Linked DNA regions of Bombyx mori. The protein of the gene in region 1 purifies or fractionates together with the protein of each later gene. This does not show direct contact. Links are inferred from orthologs where the notes say so. Each region holds a gene or a part of one and is shown in the gene's direction. Other genes may lie near its edges.

The links.
Region 2: the proteins of beta-TrCP (region 1) and cullin-1 purify together in Drosophila melanogaster (affinity purification with western blotting; 4 studies listed by BioGRID, with this or other methods). This does not show direct contact. The link is inferred for Bombyx mori from reciprocal best matches to the Drosophila melanogaster genes slmb and Cul1.
Region 3: the proteins of beta-TrCP (region 1) and protein expanded purify together in Drosophila melanogaster (affinity purification with western blotting; 4 studies listed by BioGRID, with this or other methods). This does not show direct contact. The link is inferred for Bombyx mori from reciprocal best matches to the Drosophila melanogaster genes slmb and ex.

Annotation. Positions count from the first base shown.
Region 1 is NC_085130.1:17,513,181-17,516,839, reverse strand, and holds part of beta-TrCP, read left to right. Parts: intron 1-2,835; coding exon 2,836-2,952; intron 2,953-3,659.
Region 2 is NC_085108.1:4,432,279-4,435,937, reverse strand, and holds part of cullin-1, read left to right. Parts: coding exon 1-40; intron 41-1,984; coding exon 1,985-2,103; intron 2,104-2,846; coding exon 2,847-2,967; intron 2,968-3,659. UniProt on the Drosophila melanogaster protein: Core component of multiple SCF (SKP1-CUL1-F-box protein) E3 ubiquitin-protein ligase complexes which mediate the ubiquitination of proteins involved in cell cycle progression, signal transduction and transcription.
Region 3 is NC_085118.1:7,049,254-7,052,912, forward strand, and holds part of protein expanded, read left to right. Parts: intron 1-2,916; 5' UTR 2,917-2,945; coding exon 2,946-3,168; intron 3,169-3,659. UniProt on the Drosophila melanogaster protein: Activates the Hippo/SWH (Sav/Wts/Hpo) signaling pathway, a signaling pathway that plays a pivotal role in organ size control and tumor suppression by restricting proliferation and promoting apoptosis.

The DNA of each region.
Region 1 (3,659 bases):
ATCTATTTTTCATAAAAAGCTTTATCATTATAAGTTTCGTACCATTACCCAATCTAAGTTCAACATCAATCTGAGAGATCGCTGTTATTATAAACTACTACCCCACAGTAAAATCTTTTGTGTTCTTAATTCGAATTTTTTAACGTTCTCGATAGCGTAAAAGTTAACACGAATTTGTATGGAGTTGGAACGTTTGCCTACGTTTCCCGCTAGGGGCGCTGTTCCAACTCCATACAAATTCGTGTTAACTTTTACGCTATCGAGAAAAAAGTTCTCGTCTAACTTGATACTCGATCGATTGGTGAGCGATAATGTATATTAGATCGAAATGTCTCACTCAGTCGTTGCCTGTCTAAACGCTTGACCTCTGCTTAACGCGAGGCCGGCACGCATTTGCATGCGGAAACTCGATCGCATCTCGGCCGAGAGAGCACACGTGCCTTGCGATCGAGAAGTCGTCTCGTAGTAGTGGCGAAAGGTATAACTTTGGTAAAACTAATTCCCTTGCTCGAAAAGGGTTAGATTTGTGATAGATAAATACGAGCTTAGATCCTTCGAACATATAGGTCATTTATCAGTAGGCAGTGGCTTAGCTCTGCCCCTGGCATTGCTGAAGTCCATGGGCGACGGTAACCACTCACCATCAAGTTGGCCGTAAGCTCGTCTGCCTATAAAGGCAACAAAAAAAAAATCACCCAACATAATTATCTAAAAAATAGTAATAAATTCCTAGTTTTTAAGCTAAGTTAAAGAAGTTTTTTTTTAATCTTATATTAATCGCAATCATGATGCCGTATGTGGCTGGTTAACTATTGTGTGTGAGTGTATGATCTATTTTTGTTTTTGCCCCCATATGACGTCACAGATATGAAGTTGCTTTGAAGGAATTTTTTGTGATGTTTCCTCGGAAGCTTTGAAAGTTAGAGAGAGAAGAGAGAACTCTTCTGTTCATTGTATTATACACTAAAGATAATGTCTTGCATTTTCATTAATGCCTTTTACAACGCGGTGGGTTGGTTCCGCGTTATAGGAGCAAAATTTATTTTTATATTTTACAGTATTTCTGTAAATTAAAGGGTTGTCTGGAAGAGATCGCTTTTAGCGATAAGACCGCCTATTGTACATATGTGCTTTTTGACTGTTTTTTTGAATGTAAATTGTGTTGGTGTGCAATAAAGTGTATTATCTCTCTCTCTCTCTCATAATGCCCCCGTTTGATCTCATTGACAGAATTAAATTAATGAAAATTTGTATGAAATATTTCAACAAGCAAAAAATCGCCGCGTCATATGAAAAAACGCGGGTTTTTTGCTGAGGACATGACATCGCGTTATAAGAGTTGACCTCGTTATAGGAGAATTTTTTAAATGGGATGTCGATAGGAATAGATTTTAATATAATCTTTGCCAGCTAGTCAGTCAAATTTTTAATAAATAAAATCATCTAACCTTAATGATCCAATATTGAATGTATGCCAATGGAAATGAATAAATTTACTTCCCGACGATCCTAAATTATGTGCATATCAATATAGTTTTCATTCATATTGGGGCTTATTCTGGGTTCTCTGAAGCCACCCGTATCACCCCCCCCCCCCCTCTCTCTCCCCTACAGCTATGAAGGTTTGGGAAATCTATACTAATATATAAATCTACAGTGGTTTTTACGGATGTTCCGTTATAACTACTGAACCGTGCATCCGATTGACTTGAAACTTGGTATCCATGTAGAAAATACATGTACTTAATGGATAGGCTGATATTTATATGAGAGTTGTACTCCCTAATAATAATGACAATAAATAATAATGTTAGTTTTAAATGCCCAGCGAAGCGAGCGAGTATGGCTAGTTATTTATACGAACACAGCAGATATCGCCTTCCCCTATGAATAGTGTAAACAAAAAATTTACTTTAAAGTTTATTATTTAAGAAACATATTTTTTTTTTTTTGTCAGGAGGAAATCGCCGGACTTCCGCCCTCCACTGGGGATGGAGGGCGGGGCATGTCTGAGTCGAACTGACTAAAACCTCCTGTCGCTCAACAACCAACGTCCAAACCTCGCATGAGACAGAACTCATGAAGAGGCAGAGGGGGGAAAGTGAAGCGTTTAGTGCGGAGCACATCTCTCCTATCACCCTCCCCCTCGGGACGCCGGTCCGGTGGTCGTCGGCGCCACGACCACCAGCCCTCTCGGTTTAAGAAACATATAGTACAATTATACATCAGTAAAATCTGTCAAAAAAAACCCTACCTATTCACTAGCCTAAGGGACTATTCTAGCTACGGTAGGTGAGCTTACGGGCTCAACCTGAGAGAATTTGTTAACACTAGCCCTAGCAAGAGTAGTGCTTCGTTGAATCTACCACCGGATCTGAATCGCGATCCACTGCATTCCGATCAATTGCATTGATTACAATGATGATTTTGTTTTAATAATTTGCGCACGAATTGCGAGTCCCATAAAGGGTACTTTGTGGTAAACTCATCATCCATTCATCGTTCATAGCAACGGTAAATTCAGCAGCTCACTTCGAAAGAAGAGATCGAAGTTTCAATTCCGATCTCCAACCATTGTCTCGACCTTCAAAACATATATTAGTATTGTGCTTAGTGCGAGTTTTTTAACGTTCTCGATCGCGTAAAAGTTAACTCAAATTTGTATGGAGTTGGAACAGCGCCCCTAGCGGCAAACGAAGGGAAGCTGTTCAGAACTTTCAAATTAAAAAAAACTAGTGACTAAGCACACAATGTCTTTCGAAGAACTTGACTTAGTCGCGTCACTATACGCCGAGTGCTAGGGTTGTCTCAACCGCTTTCACGATCGTTTTCCAGGTGACGTCACTGACAAGTTTGGACAGCGGCGTCAGACCGGTGCCCAGCAGCCCTGCGTACGCGGCGGAAAGGGACGCATGCCTCAACTACTTCACAAGATGGAACGAGACAGATCAGGTGACCGCATCCCTTCAGATCAGTACAAGGAATGTTATCGAAGCTGATAAGTGCTTCGTCTGCCTACAAGGGCAATAAAAAAAAGTGCTTACACTATCGGCATGCTATGATGGCCGTTTTGACTTAATACAATAGTGATGTGAAATGTCAATTTATTCTCGCAAAAAAATATAATGGAATCTACAAGTTTTTATTGCAAGTAGTACCTGATTAAAAAGGCTTAATAAAACCAAATTATAAATCCTTATTAAATTATTTTAATTAATAAATTTAAATTAATTTATTAACCTTCTTAAATTTTCTTTTTTTTTAATTTTGTATATCGAAAAGCAAATACCGAGTTAGGTATGTGGTAATAGTACGCTGTAACCATACTTGAGACCTTAGAACTTATATCTCAAGGTGGCTGGCGCATTTACGTTGTATATGTCTATGGGCTCCAGTAACCACTTAACGCCAGGTGGGCTGTGAGCTCGTCCACCCATGTATGCAATAATAAAAAAAAAAACGTCAAAACGGCCATCATAGCGCGTCGGTAGTGTAATGCGGTGCCTCGATACAAGCTGACGAGATTACCTTTGACACGTTGTACGCCACATGAAAAAACGAGTATTTTCATTCAGACCACGGTGCGCACCGGTGAGCCTTATCTTACTGAACCGTTTAGGCCACGAGGGTCGCCCGTAGAGTTGCCAGACGTGTCCCGT
Region 2 (3,659 bases), on another chromosome or scaffold:
GCCCTTCCAGCAGTCCACGTCCTTCCAGCTGCCCACGGAGGTGACGTCACCACTTCAATACTCCCCCCCCCAATCACAATATTACTCATTTTTTTATTTTTTATTTTATTGCTTAGAAGGGTGGACGATCTCACAGCCCAACTGGTGTTAAGTGGTTACTGGAGCCCATAGACCTCTACAACGTAAATGCGCCACCCACCTTGAGATATAAATTCTAAGGTCTCAGTAAAGTTACAACGGCTGCCCCGCCCTTCAAACCGAAACGCGTTGCTGCTTCACGACAGAAATAGGCGGGGCGGTGGTACCTACCCGCGGGGATTCGCAAGAGGTCCTACCGCCAACCTAATCTAGTAATCTCGAGGGGTTATGCTAGATTCACAGAATTACTCGTAGTAGATGAGCTCACAGGGATCAAACCTGAAGACGTTTCTATCACTAGTCCTAGCTGATTCTATCGAAATTGAATGCACCCATAGAGACATTAACCTGTCTGCGATGTCTTCAATTTCTATTGTTCTAAGTAGCTGAATGAGTTCACAGCCCGACTGGCTTTAAATGGTTAAGCGCTCTCGTTTGACCATCAGTCATTTTATAACAAGACTAGCTTTTGCCCGCGACTCTGTCCGCGTGGAACAGTCACTTTGGAATAACGCTAAATTTTACCCCCACTTCGTTTTCGTAGAAAGTGAAAATATTTAAAAAACATTCTTTATTGATGCTCCGCTTGTATTGGTCCTCGCGTGATGTTATATATGAGTCGTCTATTATCAAAGGTGGCAATCTGTGCATTTGGACAAAAAAAATGTTATTGATATGTCAATACAGATTGATTTGAATATAATCGTCTCCTTCAAAGAATACGGTTCAAAACCTGCATTAAATAAAGGTTAATACTTAACCTGTTATTTATCTAAGATGTCGTTCAGAAGAGTTTTGTGACTGCCAATGGAATACAAAGTCAATAATTCGTTTTTCTGATTTACCAATAATTGTCCAAAAGTCACATTGCCGGCTTTGATAATAGTCGACTCATATGTTATAACCTATAGCCTTTCTCTTTAAATGGGCTATCTAACACTGAAATATTTTTCGAATTGGACTAGTAGTTCCTGAGGTTAGCGCGTTCAAACAAACAAACTCTTCAGCTCTATAATATTAGTATAGATTGTGACGTTGTCCTTTTGTCTCTAACGCGAATGTCGTATTCACATCCTTGAGCGATTTAGTGAACAAAATTGCAATTTAACTATTTTTTTACTCGAGCCCATAGACAACTCCTCGAGACGACAGATTTAAATCTCGATTATACTGTACATCGGTCGCCCTACCACTCGAACCGGAACGAGTTATTACATCGCGGCAGAAATGGTAGTTAGTTTGCCTACATTTGCCGCTAGGGGCGCTGTTCCATCTACATACAAATTTGAGTTAACTTTTACGCTATTGAGGACGTTAAAAACTCGCACTAAGCACACTGCACAATAGTCACAGTGATATATACTAATAATATATAAATCTACAGTGGTTTTTACGGATGTTCCGTTATAACTACTGAACCATGCATCCGATTGACTTGAAACTTGGTATCCATGTAGAAAATACATGTACTTAATGGATAGGCTAATATTTATATGAGTGTTGGACTCCTTACACCAGTTGCGGGGGCGTTAATGATGAGAATCTTTGTGGGGGTGAGAAATATGTTAATTTTAAATGTCCAGCGGAGCGGACGAGTACAGCTAGTACAATAATAGATTCGTTCTTCTTATTCTTCGTCGCTTCCTCATTACTGAGGGTCGTGACCACCTTGGTCCAGTTTTTGCACCAGCTTCCTCCAATGTTGCCTGCACTCGGCCTGCTTAATGGCGCCCGGGACGCTGGTGTTTGTGGCCTCCTTGCCAATGTCCGTCCGCCTGATTGGCGATCTTCCTCGACTTCTCAAAGGTGTAAATGTGTAATGTTGGGTTTGGTTGTATCTCTCCAGCTGGAGCGCTCCGTGCACCGGTTCACCACGTTCTACTCGTCGCAACACTCCGGGCGCAAGCTGAACTGGCTCTACAACATGAGCAAGGGGGAACTCCTCACCAACTGCTTCAAGAACAGGTAACGCCCGAGCAGACAACGGCTCTGCTCCTGGCATTGCTGACGTCCACGGGCGACAGTAATCATTCACCATCAGGTGGAACGTATTCTCGTCTGCCTATAAAAAAGGGGCCAGTAAAAAGACAGTAACCGCTGACTTCAGGTTCTCAAGCGAGTGGAACTCAGCATTGCCTTTAGTGAGCTCTCGAAGCTTCACGAAAATATATTATTCAATATAATATATTTTTTATTTATTGCTTAGACGGGTAGACGAGTTCACAGCACACCTGGTGTTAAGTGGTTACTGGAGCCTATAGACATCTACAACGTAAATGCCCCACCCACCTTGAGATTCAAATTCTAAGGTCTTAAGTATAGTTACGACGGCTGCCCCACCCTTCAAACCGAAACGCATTACTGCTTCACGGCAGAAATAAGCGGGGCGGTGGTACCTACCCGCGCAGACTCACAAGAGGTCCTACCACCAGTAATTACGCCAATTATAATTTTGCGGGTTTTTATTTTTATTACACGATGTTATTCCTTCACCGTGGAAGTCAATCGTGAACATTTGTTAAGTGCATATTTCATTAGAAAAATTGGTACCCGCCTGCGGGATTCGAACACCGGTGCATCGCTCGATACGAATGTACCGGACGTCTTATCCTTTAGGTCACGACGACGCATCTGGCCGGTGTTCTGTCCAGGGCTTGCTAGCCTCCTATGCGACCGAAAGCTGGGATACAGGTTATTGTAACGTCCAGGTACACGCTGCAGGCGAGCACGTTCCAGATGGCGGTGCTGCTGCAGTACAACGACAACACCTCGTGGACGGTCCGCCAGCTGGAGCAGCACACCGGCATCAAAGGGGACTTCCTCATACAGGTGAGCCTACGCTCCAGGTGTATTGAGAAGGAGCGTCGCACGATCGAAACCTGGCACTGACCTAAGACACTTCGGATGGCTTTACCTACGGCACAATTTACCTCAATTGTGTTTTGCTGGTGGTAGGACATCTCGTGACTCCGCACGGGTAGGTACCACCACCCGCCTATTTCGGTTTGAAGGGTGGGGAAGCCGTTGTAACTGAGACCTTAGAACTGATATCTCAAGGCGGTGACGCATTTACGTTGTAAATGTCTATGGGCTCCAGTAACCACTTACTTACAGGTGGACTGTGAGATCCTCCACACATCTAGGCAACAAAAAAAAATGAGGCCCGTTTACGCTACCAGGTTTTAAAACCAGGTTTTCACTTCGAAGTACGGCGCCCTGGTACATGCCAAAAATACTTGCAATTATGAAAGTGCTGAAGTCGAATGCTCAAAAAACTTGAACACCCACATGAAAATACTGCATAGGAAAATGATTCATTTCTTATTAGGAATATATAAAAATGAATTGCTGTTCATCAGTCTCGCTAAAACTCGAGATCGGCTGGACCGATTTGGCTAATTTTGGTCTTGAATTATGGAAATCCAGAGAAGGCTTAAAAGGTAGATAAATATGAAAATGCTCGGAATTTAATAAAAATAACAATTTTGTTTTTCCTTTGATGCGTCCCCCGTCGGACGGAT
Region 3 (3,659 bases), on another chromosome or scaffold:
CACTGCGGACATAAATTTTATGAATGAGAGTTTGTCAGAAAAGTGAAAAGAAAATCCTTATATAAGTACATTGCATAACACTGCTGCGACGTATTTATTCCATACCGTATACCAGTACCGAATTCTTCAAATTTATTCCGTAATGTTTTCTATTTGGTACCTATGTAATTATTTCAAAGAGTTCATTGATGTTAAATTTAATATATTCTGATCACGGTTCCGCAATCCGATCGAAATCGGCATCTTTGTATAAAATATTTCGGTCCAGGTATCCTAACTTATCATCCTTTTAATAATAATAAATAAAAACAGTTTAACCGTTAACCTATTTGGAGATTCCGAATAGTATGGTCGTAAAAACTACGTGCGCATATTATAATGTAACAAGAAATATTTAGAACTTATTGACCTATATTTATTTAGGTAGGTTCATTAATTAAATTTTATACAAATTTAAGTTTGTTTACTGTAATCATGTCGACTTACACATAGCATACAAAACAAACATTTTTTGTAATAATATATAACAGCTATAAAATTTACACATAAAACATAATTGTGGATTATTTTCATGTTCTCAGACGAATACCTTAATTATGTTTAAGAAAGTACTTCAATTGTCTCACAATAGTCTATTCAATTGCCTCACAACATCAAATAACTTTGTACAATTTAACTTCAAAGTGTTTTAAAAAAAGCTTTTACCTAGATTAGGTTACTGCAATCTAATAAATATCATTAATTTTAAATGCAGCTTGAAACTTCCTGAAAAATAACGCATCTTTAGTCCATTGAAATAATGCATATTATAACAATTTAATAAAACTGCAGAGTCTCGTGTATTTCTATACTCTATGGTCTGCTCTTTGCAGATCTCTGCATGCAGGTAGTAAGGCAAGATCGTAAAAAAATGGAATCCACAGATGGCGCATTTCTGAACATTCCAATGCCTTGCCGATGATAAATTAATAGTCACGACAAATTCTGTTTTACTAACTTTTTTTACTGTATACGATTTATTTATACATATTTATTTTCGTAATCAAAATAGCTTTCATTACTGCAACACTTAACTGCGTTTAATCACTTATCCATATTTTGTTCATTTGAGAAAAACTCTTTCAACGGTGCGTTACTTCCAGGTGACAAATAACTTACTCAATAATTGTGGAAAAGTTTGTTAAATGTAGATTGTTGGTACGGAAGTGCTGGAATAATTCGACCCAACGGTTTTCAGTAGAAACATTCTCGGCATTCCAGTCAGTAATTTTTGCATCAAAAACTCGTATCTTGGCTTCTGATAATAAACCCTTGTGTGTTCAGTAAATCAAGTACTTTCTGTACCTCTTCCCACGAAGGCACTTTTGTTAAATTAGCCCATTTAAACACTCCTAGTGCCATGTTGAATTGAAAAATAAATTTATCGTTTGGTCTCTCTGCAAAAGCGGAACTATGTCTGCCTCGCTGGGGACAGCAGGACAGAATTCCCGAAAGCGTGACTGTCCCGCCACAATCGGGACGTATCGTCCCGTTATATATACAGGAATTCAAGTTCTCATCTAGAAGATTATTATCTTCTATTTGGGTGATAATTGCTAGATGTAAAATCTGAAATACACCCATGGTTAAACGAGTTGTATGGCATCTACTATCCTTTTTTATAAATTAAGTCTACGTGGTATGCGTAGAAACTAACGATTTTATTGTAGATAGACACACTAGGTATGGCAGAGTTCACCTGGTATAAAATTGTTACCGTAGGTCTTATGGTATCTCTGATGTGCATACATAACAAACTAAATGTCGCTATCCACTTTAAAACAAATCAGGACGAAATCTCGATTATTTAATTACTGATCCACCCTTACCGCACGATTGCTTCGCGGCAGAAATAGGCGAAAGGTCGGTACTTAGGTACCTTTGCGGAATCTCGATAAGCCATTAGTAATTACTCATTTTTTTTATATTATTTCGTTCATAGTGGAAGCTGTTCACGGAAACTTCTTATGTACACTTATACTTTTAACAAAATAATACCTGTTATACAGATACCTAGATATTTGTGGTTTACGTGTGAAATAAATATTAAGACATTAATATTCAACTGTGAAAGAAAATATTTCTTTTAAAAAGATATTTATTTTCTTTTAGCCTGTTTCAGATTATACTTTTCGTATATATTTACCTTATCTTATACAATATTTAAGTTAAATTGCCTAAAAGTAAATAAAAACGCCTTTACCGCCTAAAGATTCGTTTATTCGTTTTGTTCTGTTCCAAAGAAAAAACTTTAATTAAAATTATTATTTTAACCTTACTTTCTCCCGATTAACTCTGCGTTTATTTTAGGAAGTTTACTTTGTTACCTGTTCGGTACATGTTTTTTTTTTTATTGCTTAGATGGGTGGACGAGCTCACAGCCCACCTGGTGTTAAGTGGTTCCTGGAGCCCATAGACATCTACAATGTAAATTCGCCACCCACCTTGAGATATAAGTTCTAAGGTCTCAGTATAGTTACAACGGCTGCCCCACCCTTCAAACCGAAACGCATTACTGCTTCACGGCAGAAATAGGCGGGGTGGTGGTACCTACCCGTGCGGACTCACAAGAGGTCCTACCACCAGTGATTCTGTAATGTTTACTAGTAATTTACTAGTAACGGATCTTACTACCCTACCAACTCTCTATGAGATGTATCATTGCTTATTCTATCCAATTTTTTCTGTATTTATTTATTAGTCACACAATAGACATCACAAGCTAAAAAAGATACATAAAAAACACAAGTAAAAAGAAACAAAATCTGGCTTGCGACATAAGCCTTGTGCGCACGACTAAACAAGACGAAGTGCTGAATTTGTACACAATGTTCCGTAAGACAATTAAAAATAATAATGTAATATTTATTATTTCAGAGGGTGTAACAGTAACATCGAGATGCGACATGCGCGCTCTGTGTTCGGTTCGCGGGCCGTTAGGCGGAGACACTCGCGCTCTAGGCGCGGGTGCTCGGTTTCTGTCCCTCCGCATGCCCGGTCAAGCACAGCCTCTTCACTTCGTTGTGGAAGCAAAATCAAGAGTCAAAGAGTTAAAAGCATTGGTCAACGGACATGTCCAGCTACGAGGCATGACCGATACGGATTTTTTCGGATTAGCTGTATTACAAAGTAAGTAGTTTTAAAGATTATTCTATTGATGTTCACTGATGTTTACGCAACTTTACACACGTAAAATGTTCACCTCACGATTTCACAAAGTTTACACTTCGCATTATTTATTCACAGCGTAACGCATTCCTTGCAAAGCATTCTGCTTATCTATGCAAACAAGCGCTGCTTTATAATCTATGTTTCATAAATACTTTTTATTCAAATCACAACGTCACATCGGTAGTTAGTGAACATTGAACATACGCCTTTCGGAGCATACGCCTTTCATGTACAAAGTAACACGTATATATTTCGCAACACATAAATTTAATGAAACATGTTACAGCTGTAGGTACAGAGAGTGAAATCTTTTTTTATTTTATGTATAGACTACCTTACGATACCTGATGATAAATGTCTACCGGAGCCCATGTTTATTTAAACTAAGGTAAATGTTGCCACCCTCCTGGAATACATAACTATTAAATATTATACGTTTAACAGAACGA